Callithrix jacchus: one gene and its partners. The protein of the gene in region 3 interacts with the protein of the main gene of each other region in a pairwise test. Links are inferred from orthologs where the notes say so. Each region holds a gene or a part of one and is shown on either strand. Other genes may lie near its edges.

The links.
Region 1: the proteins of PNMA5 (region 3) and TBC1D22B interact in binary tests that used the Homo sapiens proteins (3 or more experiments, as listed by UniProt). The link is inferred for Callithrix jacchus from reciprocal best matches to the Homo sapiens genes PNMA5 and TBC1D22B.
Region 2: the proteins of PNMA5 (region 3) and ZBTB25 interact in binary tests that used the Homo sapiens proteins (3 or more experiments, as listed by UniProt). The two-hybrid records come from large-scale screens. The link is inferred for Callithrix jacchus from reciprocal best matches to the Homo sapiens genes PNMA5 and ZBTB25.

The regions. Positions count from the first base shown.
Region 1 is NC_133505.1:45,599,969-45,603,979, reverse strand, and holds the start of TBC1D22B (TBC1 domain family member 22B), read right to left. Parts: upstream 2,801-4,011; 5' UTR 2,654-2,800; coding exon 2,598-2,653; intron 1-2,597. UniProt on the Homo sapiens protein: May act as a GTPase-activating protein for Rab family protein(s).
Region 2 is NC_133509.1:99,156,250-99,160,549, forward strand, and holds the start of ZBTB25 (zinc finger and BTB domain-containing protein 25), read right to left. Parts: upstream 2,801-4,300; 5' UTR 2,655-2,800; intron 2,653-2,654; exon of another isoform or gene 1-2,652. UniProt on the Homo sapiens protein: May be involved in transcriptional regulation.
Region 3 is NC_133524.1:149,111,165-149,115,443, forward strand, and holds the start of PNMA5 (paraneoplastic antigen-like protein 5), read right to left. Parts: upstream 2,801-4,279; 5' UTR 2,717-2,800; intron 960-2,716; 5' UTR 832-959; intron 389-831; exon of another isoform or gene 245-388; intron 148-244; 5' UTR 86-147; intron 1-85.

The DNA of each region.
Region 1 (4,011 bases), on a different chromosome or scaffold from region 3:
GCAACCTCCAATTCCCGGGTTCAAGCAATTCTCCTGCCTCAGCTTCCCAAGTAGCTGGGACTACAGGTGCACGCCAGCACACCCAGCTAATTTTTGTATTTTTAGTAGAGCCGGGGTTTGGCCAGGTTGGCCAGGATGGTCTTGATCTCTTAACCTCGTGATCTGCCCGCCTCAGCCTCCCAAAGTGCAGGGATTACAGGCGTGAGCTACCGTGCCCGGCAAAAGTTCTCTATTTCTATGTACTTATTTATTTATTTATTTAGAGATGGAGTCTTGCTTTGTCTATTTATTTATTTAGAGATGGAGTCTCCCTTTGTCACCGGGCTGGAGTGAAGTGGCATGATCTCGGCTCACTGCAATGTCCACCTCCCAGGTTCAAGCTGTTCTCCTGCCTCAGCCTCCCGAGTAGCTGGGACTACAGCGCCACCACACCCAGCTAATTTTTGTATTTTTAGTAGAGACGGCGTTTCACTATGTTGGCTAGGATGGTCTCAAACTCCTGACCTCGTGATTTGCCCGCCTCAGCCTCCTAAAGTGCTGGGATTACAGGTGTGAGGCATTGTTCCCGGCCCTCTCTCAATTTCTCCATATTCTTCAAAATGAAAAGGGAATCCAGAAACTTGAGGAAACTGAAAAGACTTCTCTTCCTATCTCAGAAAAGTAGTGCTTTTAAAATGTTGACTCTTCTATAGTCAAACACAGGAGATATGGGGAAAAAAGACTGTTAATAGCAACCACCAGTCAGAAGGCAGAGAAGGCCATGCCATGTCGCACATCTCTTACACTGCTTCCTGATACAAGTTTTCCTATTGATTCTGATTATAATCTTAGGATGTCAAAATTTAATGATCTCACTATGGAAAATCCCAGAGAATAGCAGTCAGCACAACCAGAGAGCTCACTAGACCAGGAAGGAAAACGAATCAGCTGGCAGGAAGTGGTGCTTACCTAAAGACATAGAACATCTTTAACAGTAATATTAACACTGTAAATCCACAGCACTTTAATCTGAAGTTATCTTTGCATTCCTATTATTTTAATAAATATTACTAAAAGCTGATTTCCACCCTATTCTCCATATGTCTAATAGGATCCTTAATAAAATAAGACTTGCTGGGGCATGGTGGCTAACACCTGAAATCCCAACACTTTGAGAGGCCAAGGTAAGAGGATCACTTGAGGCCAGGAGTTACAGACTAGCCCTGGCAACATTGTGAGTGAGACTTTGTCTCTATTTCATTAAAAAAAGAAAAAATTAAGGCTCTTATCTAGCCACTATTGACCCACATTTCTCTCTTGCTTAAAAATAAATAAATAAATAAATAAAGTCTGCTGGACACAGTGGCCCACACCTGTAATCCCAGCACTTTGGGAGGCTGAGGTGGGCGGATCACAAGGTCAGGAGTTCGAGACCAGCCTGGCCAATATGGTGAAACCTCGTCTCTACTGAAAATACAAAAATGTGCCAGGCATGGTGGCGCGCATCTGTAGTCCCAGCTATCCAGAAGGCTAAGGCAGGAGAATCGCTTGAGGCTGCAGTGAGCTGAGATCACACCACTGCACTCCAGCCTGGACAACAGAGACACTCCGTCTCAAAAAAAAATCACGAGTTCAAAAGATGATCTCACAAGGAAAAAACCTGAATCCACTAGAAAAGGTAGCACGTGGGGCACAACCAAACATGAATTTCATCACCAAGTAGACTGTGGCTGGCAGAAATCTTAAATTCACGACTGAAATACACACTCTACTTTATACTTCTCAGGACTCTCCCCAAAATAAACTGAAACAGTAAACCAATAGATTGATGGATGGGTAATTTGCTAAAAGTCTCAACATACACCAAAAAAGGGGTGGGGGGTAGTCTGAGGAGGTCTGCTCTCCAGCGAAACAACTGAAGAATGAAAGAATTTAGTACATTTGCACAAGAAGAGCATTACAATGCAAGGAAGGAAGAAGTCACTTGGGGTTGGACAAATCCTTAGAAAATGCCAAAGGAATAACCCTGATTCTGTGGTCGCCTTGTATTAATTCCTAGTGGGAAAGGGCCAACTCAAGATAAAGTAAGGTCAGGCTTGAGAATTGTCCTCACTTTTCTTACCTAACCCTCTCGGCAAGAAGCCACAAACTCACACCAGAATCCTTCGGGTAATTGTCCAGCTAGGGGAACAAGGGAAGGGGCCATCCTCAAGCAAGCAACCACCTGTGCGTGGTGGAGACCACTGAGAGGGAGTTCTGATTAGAGTGGGAAGCAGCTCTGGGGATGAACCTCCGAGACCAGGGCCGACACTGACTTATCTCCCAACTCCACTGCGGGTTACGCCCAATCTTCGGCCACCTTCCAGCTGAGGTCACCCCTCCTGAAACCTCCGCCCCCAGACCCCGGTCTACACCCACATCCAGCCGTCCCCAAAGCTCGCTGTTCTCTCCTCTGCCTGACAGCTGCTCTGCAGCCACCAGGCAGCCCCAGTTTTCCCCGCCTGGCTTCCCCAAACCAGTCTTCCGGCCTCGGTGGCGCCCCAGGCCCGCGGGATTAGGGATTAGGATCTGGAAGGGTTTGGTCCAATCCCCTTTCCCTCTCAGCGTCCTGGGCTCACCTCCCCGGCAGCTTAGCGCTCCTCTTCCAAAACTGCTTGCTGTTCTCAGCGGCCATTGCTCTGGCCGGGGGAAGGCCTTGTAGGCGGGCCAGGGGGGTTGCCTGGAGAGATGCCCCCAGACCCCGCAATCTGAGGGCCAACCCAGGCCGCTTCCCCGCTGCCGGTCACCCACTCCCAGCTCCTGGGGACGCCATCTTGGATTTGGGCACCCCTCCACCCAGCGCCGCTGCCATTGGTGGGCTGCGCAAGCCGTGGCCGGGCCGGCCAATCAGAAGCCGGAATCCTGCAAGCCACTGAAGCCAACGGGTAACGTCAGGGGCAGGGCATACAGGTGGACGGGGAAGGCGGAGCTTGAAGGAGCAGAGAGGCGGGGCTCAAAGTTCCTGCCCTCGAGAGGAAAGAAGCAGGTAAAGTAAGGGACCTAAGGAATGGAAGAGAGGGGATTATTTTCTTCGTGAGGAATGAATTTCCTGAATCTAATATTTTTTGGCAAGGGCGAGATGTATTTATGTATAGGAATCTTTAACCTAAAAGTAAGGGCCCATGTGTTGATTGTGTTCCATTTTTAACATCTCTCAACTCAGGGACACTCTGGTTATTTACCCTCCCCTTCCTCGTTCCGTTTAGATGTCCGTTCGTTTTTCTGAAGGAAGGTCATCAGGGATCCGATAGCCCGGGGTTGCTAACGGTTCAGCACGTGAGCAACAGTTCATCAGAGTCTCCCTCTCGCTCTGTTTATTGAAAACGATGGAAGGAATTGTGCTGTGGGTGAAAAATTCAAATTATCTAATCCCGATGTCAATTCATAACTCTCACTTTCTGACTATGCTAACAGTGTATAGGAAATGGTTTATGATAGCCGTCCAACTCAGATTACCAAGTACCATTTCTCTGAAGGACACAGTATAGCTCCATCGTGTGAATCACAAAGTTAAGGATACATCTCCTCCTCACCCACCAACATCCTTAATTTCCCTTGTTAATCTATTATAAATCTTGCATCCTTGGATTTATTTTCAATCTAATTTTCACAATGAGATTTAATATTAGCATTTAAAATATCTTGTCGGTGTTTTTTACTGTTTTTGAGTTTCTATGGTTGTATTCCGTGGTGATTTGGGGAGAGAAAGCAGGCACCAGTCTAGAGTGGTTTTTGTCCCATTCAAGGACTGTTGAGGTGGGCTGCGTGTCCCCCACCCCCTCACCCACCCCCCATTCACAGCTACCACATGTAAGTCCAAATATTGGAGAATACTTGAAGACCTGATCCCATGGGTCCTTCCACACATTGGAGAATGCTTAAGGACCTGAACCCTGGCCCCAGCCAAAGAAGGACCTTCTTTATATGTCCTCCAGCTCCCAGTCACCCCTCTATTCTTTTAATCATTTTACCTGCCTTTCTCTGGCGCTTCTT
Region 2 (4,300 bases), on a different chromosome or scaffold from region 3:
TAAATTTACTCAACAATCCTGAAACTGATGTTTGCTTCACACTTTCTTCTTCCTCCTCTATCCCTAAGCAGGTTCAAGTAGCAAAATTTTTCCTTTCTTAGGGATACTACTATGATATTATTCTAATATAATATATTATTTTCAAAACCTATTATTATAATGAATAAATACTATATGCAAGGCCTTGTGCTAAGTGCTCTATATATATTATCTCTTTCAATCTTCACTGTGATGACTCATGTATTGTTTTCATTTCCATTTTACAAATGTACTTATTTTACAAATAAGGAAAAATCCTAGGCTTAGGACACACATTTAGCAAACGATATAAAGTGGAGATAAAAAGCCAGGGCTGTCTCCATAGCTTACGCTAATAAACTGAAGGAGTATTTTCTTAGCTTTCTCTTCTTAAAAGACTGAAGTTCACATGCTATTTGGAATAAATATGCAGAAAAGGCGCACAGGAAGTGGTGTAGAAAGAAGCACTATAATTTATCAAGATAAGAGCACCTGCACTGCTTTTTTAGAACAAGGAAAAAACCTGCAATCATATAAAACCCTCAAGTCTTTTCTACCCTGTTATTGCTAAAATGGACAAGTTGGTCAGGCACCAGCTACGGACGGTAGTAAATAAAGCACTTTGGTTCAGTGTTGGGGAGGGCATTATGCAACACTTCCCAGCACAGCCCTGGCCAGAATATTTTACGGCCAAGGCACTTGCCCCCCCCACCCCACCCACCCCCCGCTAGACAGCCTGGCTCCTTCACATTCCCCTCAGGAGATAGGGTGGAAGCTCACAGCTCCACTTTGTAAGGCATAGAGGGCAGCTGAAAGTCCTGCTTGGCCTCTCTGGGCAACCACAGGCGCCAATAAATCAGCCACAGGCGATTCTCATTCCCTTCCCGGCTGAAGCAGGAGCAAGGCATAATGCAAAAGAGCACTGATTGGACTTGAGAGATAAGTGATCTTAAATTCTACTGCAAATGACTACATCACCACAGCCAGGTAATAAGCCTGTTTCTTCAGGCTAGTAACATGAAGACAGTACCATCTCCTTTTTGGTAAAGATACAAAGTTCATCTATGAAAGCGGCTAGTATGAGACTTGGCCCACTGCAACTACTCAGTAAACGGCGGCCCAACTTGGGCAGAATCCATCTCTACTACATGCAAATAAGACATTCCAGGAAGACTGGACAAAAATGGTGTTAACAGGTTATGCGGTCCCTCTCTGCTTTCTTCCCGACCGTACCTTGGTATTTCACTGATTCCCAGCTCTCAGAACTAATCTAGTCCCTGTTCTATCCCATCAGTTTCTTATTAAGAAGCTGATGTCCGATCATGGATTCATGATTTATCCTTAACTAAAATATATCCAGATTGTTAAAGAAGACTTTGATGCCTTAACATAAGGAAGCAACCAAGACTGTAAATGATCATCATTATTCTTGCAGAGAATAGCAATGAAATTTTGAGGAGGGGGGGTGCCTGCAGGCTTTTAGCTCCAAAAATACACCATAAGCGGCCTACCTCACCTAGAAATACTATCAACCCCACTATTCCAGAGCCATCACAGTGGCCATGCCTGATTTCTCCATGACCTGAATCAACCCAAGTATAATGACCTCCGGCAGATACACTCTCTACAGGTGAGTGGGTTAAACTGGCACTGCAGTCCTGGCATGGTGGAGAGTGCAATCACCAAGGTGTCTGGAGTCTTGGAGTCTAGCTATTGAGAAGTGTAGCTAGCTCCAGCTACATCATGCTCTTCAGGCCTGGTGTCTTCTCTGTAAAACGAGAGGAATGAAACAGATTTTATAAGGCACCACCTCTCGGCTCTAAAATTTGAGATACCAAAGTGTACTTTACCCACTCGACAGAATCTTGTGAGAGAATCAACAGCTCTGTCATAAGGACTTGAGTCTCAAGAGAAAGAATGCTACATTTAATCCCTTAGGGAGATCCAGGCGCTAACTGTGGAAACGTGCTAGGTGCTATCAGGTTCCAGGTACTAGGTTGCCTTATGCGCTGCCTCCGCAACTGATAACACCTGATTACTCCAAATAATGAGTGCCAGAGAAGGCTATGATAAGATGGAGCAAGTTTCAAAAAGAAAAACTGCATCTGCTTAAAACGAGACAAACATAATTTGAAGATAAAAAAGAAATCAATTATGAGGGCCGGGGCGGAGAGTCTTCTTGCCCTAGAAACTAGGTAATCACAAGCTGGGAGTGGTAACAGTAGCCGCAGGGTCCTCGCAGCATCTGGAAAGTCGCCCACTCGTAAGAGGGGTCGGCACCAGCCGGGAGACGGCGCAGGCCTATTGGGGGTTCCTGCTGGGGGTCGCACCCGGACCCATAGCGGGGACGGCTCCGCGCCTTCGCAGCACCCCGTGCGCCACCCAGAATCAGGCCCGGGCGGCTGCTCCTAGGAGCAGCGAAGGGTGGCTCTGGGCATCGTCGGCCCTACGCTCACTTGCGGTGCTATTTTCCTCCTGTGCCCTGCCTGACATCTCAATCGGACCAAAAACACCCCTCTCCCCAGCTACTTGCATCTGTCCGCGACCGGTGAGGCTGCAGGCCGCCGCCCTGGGCGGCTCGCGGCGGGAGGGACTGAACCCAGGGCAGCCCACAGGGGCTGGGCCGCGTCGCTTACCCAGACGCCGCCGCGGCGGCAGGCCGACGCCTCCGTGCAGGAGGGGCGGGCTCCCACGCCACGCACGGCAAGCGATTGCACCGGCTCACGCACCCCCGCGGGCCGCTCTCGCGCGGCTTCCCGCGCCAGCAGCCCGCGATAGCCTCACGTGACCGCGTGCCTGGTTACAGGGGAACTAGGGGCGCTGGGGCCAGGCTGTGCGTGCGTGCGTGCGTGCATACGTGCGCGCCCTCCCGCCCGCCAGAGTGGCCGGGCGGGGGTCTGCCTGCGTTCTGAGCGCAGCAGCTACAGTTCGCAGTCGTGACTCTAGGCGGAAGCGTAGGGACAAGTCTGAGCGTCAGAGGCTCCCCACAAACAACCGCGTGACCCGGGGACTTTCCCCAGGGTGTGCAAAAGCACAGACACCCCCTCAGTTCTGGGGTGAAGGTGGGGGTGGGGAAGGATGCGCCCGCGTGTTCGCTGGGGAAGGGATGAGGGCGCCGGGCCAGAGAGGGCGAGCCGCGGGAGCCTGGGTGGAGAGGCGGGCTAGGCGAGGTGGGGCTTGGCGGGGGAAGTGAGTCAGGGCCAGAGGCGGACAGGCCCGCGGATGGTGGGGTGAGGGAGCGCGGGGACTGAGCGACCCTGATCCGACGGGACAGGGTGAGGTTGCCGGAGCACCCGAGGCGGACCGCGAGGGACGGCCCAGCGGTTGGGCCCAACAGGGCAGGGGTCTGACATCTGGACGGAGTGGGAAAGCAGCTTCGCATCCTGCCCTGGGGAGTCGGGAGGAGCCCAGTCCCATCCAGCTGTGCAAACAGGAGGAGGAGCAGGAGGTCCCAAGCCTAACCTTGGGAGAGGGGCGAGAGGGGTGGTCAAGCCGCCGTCGCCGCGACGGGCCCCTGCGGTGCGGGTTGCGCCAGCCTCCTAGGAGCCCGACGCAGAAACTTGTTGCAACAAACAGGCGACCGCGGGTGCCCCTAGCAGCCAGCGGCAGAGTGGGTGGGCGGGCGAGAGGGAGGGGAAGGCTGGCGGACGCCGCAGCGAACTGGTGGGCAGACCCGGAGTCGCCGCGTAAGCGGGGCCGGCTCAGTGCGGTGCGGCAGGCGCGGCTGTGCGGCAGCGGAAGTCCTTTGTTGCAGCACAGTCCCTGGCAGAGCCAGAGCCTCTCCGCGCAGCCCAGCTCGAGCGCCGAGCGCCGCCGCCACTGCAGCTCGCGGCCCCTTCGCCTCCGCCCGCCTTTTCCGCGACTGATTTGCCTTAAACTCCCTAAAATCTCCGCAGCTCTGGTTCCTGCTGCGGCTGGTAAGTATTTGCTAGTTGTGGGGCTATTCGCGCAACTTTGGCCCGGGCCGGAGGGCGATGAGCCGTGGGCCTGGCGGAGTGCGGGGCCAGAGCGGCGCCGACCCGTGCGGGGAGCCGGAGCGCGGCGGACGCGCTGCGAGGATCAGGCGACAGGCGGCTGCCAGGCCGCCTGCTTGCTGCTGGCGCGTCAGGTCCCGGGCTTGCGGCCTTCCCGAGTCGGAGGAGAAGCCCCTATGGAGACTAGTTCCCAAATTAGTTACCTTCTTTTCTTTCTTTCTCTGCCTTTATTTTTTTCGAGGGGGGAGGGGAGGTGTAGACGGGAGGCGGGAGAACGCGGTTGATTGACGTGCCCAGAGCCCGCTTCT
Region 3 (4,279 bases):
AAGGCTCAAGTCATTGTGTGGAGAACAGAGTGTGGTGGGTCTCCCCAGGCAAAGATCCCCCCACCTCACCACACTCCCTGCTGACCTCCTCCTGCTGTGGGTTCCTCCTCGATGTCCAGAGGACTCAGCCGGGTGTGCTGCAGGTGCCTGTAGTGAAAAGGCCAACGTCAGGAGGCAGGGCCTGACACCTGAGGACACTGACAAGCCCTCCAGGCAAAAGTCAGGAGACTGCCCCACTGCTCACTCAGGGCTATGTGGGCTCAGGTCACCTGGCACCCTCCTTGCTGGAATGGAAGTGAAGGCTGGCTGCAGGAGAGGTGGAGTGGCCGTGTTTCTCAGGAAATGCCTGACAGAGGAGAAAGATGGCCGGAGCTCTGCGCAATGAAATGAGTGGTGGGTGTGGAGATTGTGTGAGAAACTGCAGTGTTGCCATGGATACAGAGCATACCATGGACCATGGGTTGCTATTGTATGGTAGTGTCATGTGGTGAGGCTAAGGCCCTTGAGAAGCAACAGGTGATGTCATCGGTCTTCATCCAATACAGCATCCTAGCAACAAGGAGGGTAGGTGAGGAAAGGGGAGGTAGGCATGAGGAGTGAGTGCTCAAAGAAGGACAGGAGTTCATGGTTTAAATTGTGTGGAAGGTGAAATCGGGCAGAAAAGGGACGCAGATAAGGTCCCTACTGCCAGACTGCAGGAAACGAACAACTCTTGCCCTAGCGATGGCCCTATCCTGCAGAGTTTGCGAACCCTGCAGTGAGTCCTGTCTCCTCACTCTTTGCCAAGGTTCCAGAGTCCCTCCCACCAGAGCCCACCTCACAGCTGCTCACCTTGCTGGGCTGGCTCTGCTAGCAGCGTGGAAGCTGCAATAACAGCCACTTCACACTTGCTGCGCTCTTCAGCTCTGTCCAGTTAGGCAGCTACTGAGTTAGCAGTGACGGGTCTTGCTTCTCTGGATCTGTCCAAGGCAAAGCAGAGGTATTTTGTTGTGATTGTGTCCCACACACACGTCTCTGCTCAGGCCACGGCAGTTGTGATTCTGCAAAGGTGTCCAGTAGTACTCTGGCGCAGCCACAGAAGAAACTGCTCAACTGGCAGAGGGAGGAGGAGGGAGGAAGGGGGAGGGGTGCGGAAAGAGGGAGTATGGGAAGGAATGGTGAGGGAGGTGGAGGGTGGGGGCTGGTGGGGGCTGCTGATAGGACAGAAGGGATCGTAGGATAAGGTTGTTGTCCCACCCCCACTGCAAACTCTACTCGCTCCAAAGCTCCGCCCCTGCAGCCATGTTGTCCGAAGCTCCGCCCCTGCAGCCATGTTGATCGGAAGCTACGGCATTGCAGCCATGTTGCATCGCTTAGCTACCTCACCATAACCACCACACGTTGCCAAGGTCCACGTGCGTACACCTAAGATCCACCTCTACCGCAATCCCAACCAGCACGAAATCCAACCCATTTCCCCACCCACGTCTAACTCGTGCTTCAACCCTGCCCCCACCCACGTCTGTTACCTCAACCCTGCCCCCACTCACAGTTGAACTCGTGCCTCAACCCTCCCCCCACCCATGTCTAACTCCTACCTCAACCCTGCCCCCACCCACAGTGGAACTCGTGCCTCAACCCTGCCCCCACCGACGTACAACTCGTGCCTCCAGCCTGCCCCCACTCGCAGTCGAACTCGTGCATCAAACCTCCCCCACACATGTCTAACTCCTACCTCAACCCTGCCCCCAACCACAGTCGAACTCGTGCCTCAACCCTGCCCCCACCGACGTCTAACTCGTGCCTCAACTCTGCCCCCACTGGCAGTCGAACTCGTGCATCAAACCTCCCCCACACATGTCTAACTCCTTTCTCAGCCCTGCCCCCACGCACAGTCGAACTCGTGCCTCAACCCTCCCCCCACCCATGTCTAACTCCTACCTCAACCCTGCCCCCACACGCAGTCAAAGTCGTGCATCATCCGTGCCCCAATGTCTAACTCCTACCTCAATCCTGCAGGCACCCACAGTCGAACTCGTGCCTCAACCCTGCCCCCACCCATGTCTAAGTCGTAACTCAATCCTGCCCGCACCCAGAGTCAAATCCGTACCGCAATGAGTGACCACTCACGAAGCCCAACTACTTACGCCATACAAGTCTAACCCCCTGTACCGAAATCCAGTACGTCCGTTCCCGTTTCCCTCCATCTCTACCCTGTTATCTACATAAACCAACTACCAGCACCAGTGGAAGGCGGCAGGATCTAGGAGAGAAGATCCGAAGCCGCTCTTCTGCACGGACAAGGGTCAAGAGTTGAGGGTGGAACAGGCCTCCAGAAAGTATTTTTTAATTTGTTTCTTTTTGAGACGAATAGTCTCCCTTTGCTGTCCACGCTGGAGTGCAGCAGGCATGATTTCGGCTCAGCATAACCTCCGCCTCCAGGGTTCAACCTATTCTCCTGCGTCACTGTCCTGAATAAATGGAATTACAGGTCCCCAACACTATGCCCGGCTAATTTTGGTATTTTTAGTAGAGACGGAGTTTCACCATCTTGGGTAGGCTATACCTCCTCACCTAAAGTGATACACCCGTCTCGGCCTGCCCAGCCTAAGGTCTCCCAGAAGTTCTGCCTGGAAAACTATGGATAGCAACTCCTAGGCCCTGTGGAAAATAGCAAGTTATTGGCGATATACCCCCTAATCTAGGTTGCTTTGTATGACCAGGCCCAGCTCCGTACCTGTCAGAAAGGCCTGTAAGCTGGAGTGATCGCGCAGCGCGACCACCACACGTCTAAGGCGGCTGCCGCCTCTGTGCCGAATGCGCCTCCAGGCTATGACAGGAAGAGGTTGTCTGGTAACGCCTCCCCGCCCAGCGGAAGTGCACACGGCCCACTCACAGTTGCGCACTAGTGACATAAAGCATTCTATTTCCCGCGCCAAGCAACTCCTCACCCCCACCCCACCAGTTCGAGCCCGCACTTTTGAGAACATACAATACAAACAGCTGGCAGCCATTTCCATTACAGACTAGATGCCTGTACTTTACTGGCTGGACAACGGTAGCACCAGTCTCTTCATACACGCCACATGTACCCAATAGGCCACATGACTACACGTACTACCTCAACATCACAGATCCTGTTAAAGGCTGTGGCGGGAAGAGGTTTTTGGGTGATGACCCCCACCCTAGCAAAACTTCACACGGCTCTTTCACATTTGTGCAGTGGCCACATAAACCTTCCTACTTCCCTATCAAGAATTCCTTACCCCACCCCAACCCTTGCCAGACTGTGCCGGCCTGCGCCAACCTTCACCTTTGAGGAAATACAATACAAACAGTTGGGAACTACTTCCATTGCATACTAGCTCGGAAGTCTATAGTTTACTGACTGGACGATGGCGGCAGCTATTCTCCCCACTTGCCACGTCACCCAGCAGTCATTCTGTTTCTTTCCCGTGGGAGGGGAGCTATGCCGTACCAAGCCGTGTGTGAAGGGCCAGGTGCAAATCACCGAGTACAACATATAAGCCATGTGTAACAAATAGGCCAAGTGAGCGTGTGTACTACCTGAAAGTCACACACCCCTTTTCAACCTGACGCGGGAAGAGGCTATCGGGTGATGACCGCCCCCTCCCCCACTGTAACTCCACACAGCCCACTCACAGTTCCTCACCTATGACACAAACCCTCCTACTTCCCATGCGACGGGTCCTCACCACCCCACTACCACCCGTGCGAGCCTGTGCCAGCCCGCACCTTTTAGAACAGACAATAAAAACAACTGGGTGCCACTTCCATTGCAGACTACCTCCCACGCCTGTAGTTTACTAGCTAGACGACGGTGGCACCCAGGCTCTTCATTTACCATGTGTCCCAGCAGCCATTGTGGTTCTTTTCCACTGGAGGGGAGCTGTGGTGTCCCAAGCAGTGTCTGAAGGACCTGGTTCACATCACTGGGTGCAGCATATAGGCCACGTATAATGAATAGGGGGTGTGAGCCTACTTACTACCTGAAACTCATAGCACCTGTGTATTTTTTATTGGACTGCGTTCTGGGGTAGGAAGGTAAAAAATACAGCTACGGCCTGCATTTCACAAGGCCATAATTTTTTTTTTCTGCTTACTTAGAGCCAGATGACTGAAAATACTCTATTCTCCCATTATTCTCCTGATTTCACGGCCTACTTCAAGATGCACACAAATACCCTGGCAATCTTTAAAAAATGCAAGTTCTCAGTGAGGAGGCCTAGTGCAGGACTGATTCTGCTGAAAGCCGGGTGACTTGCTGCCTACCCCTGCC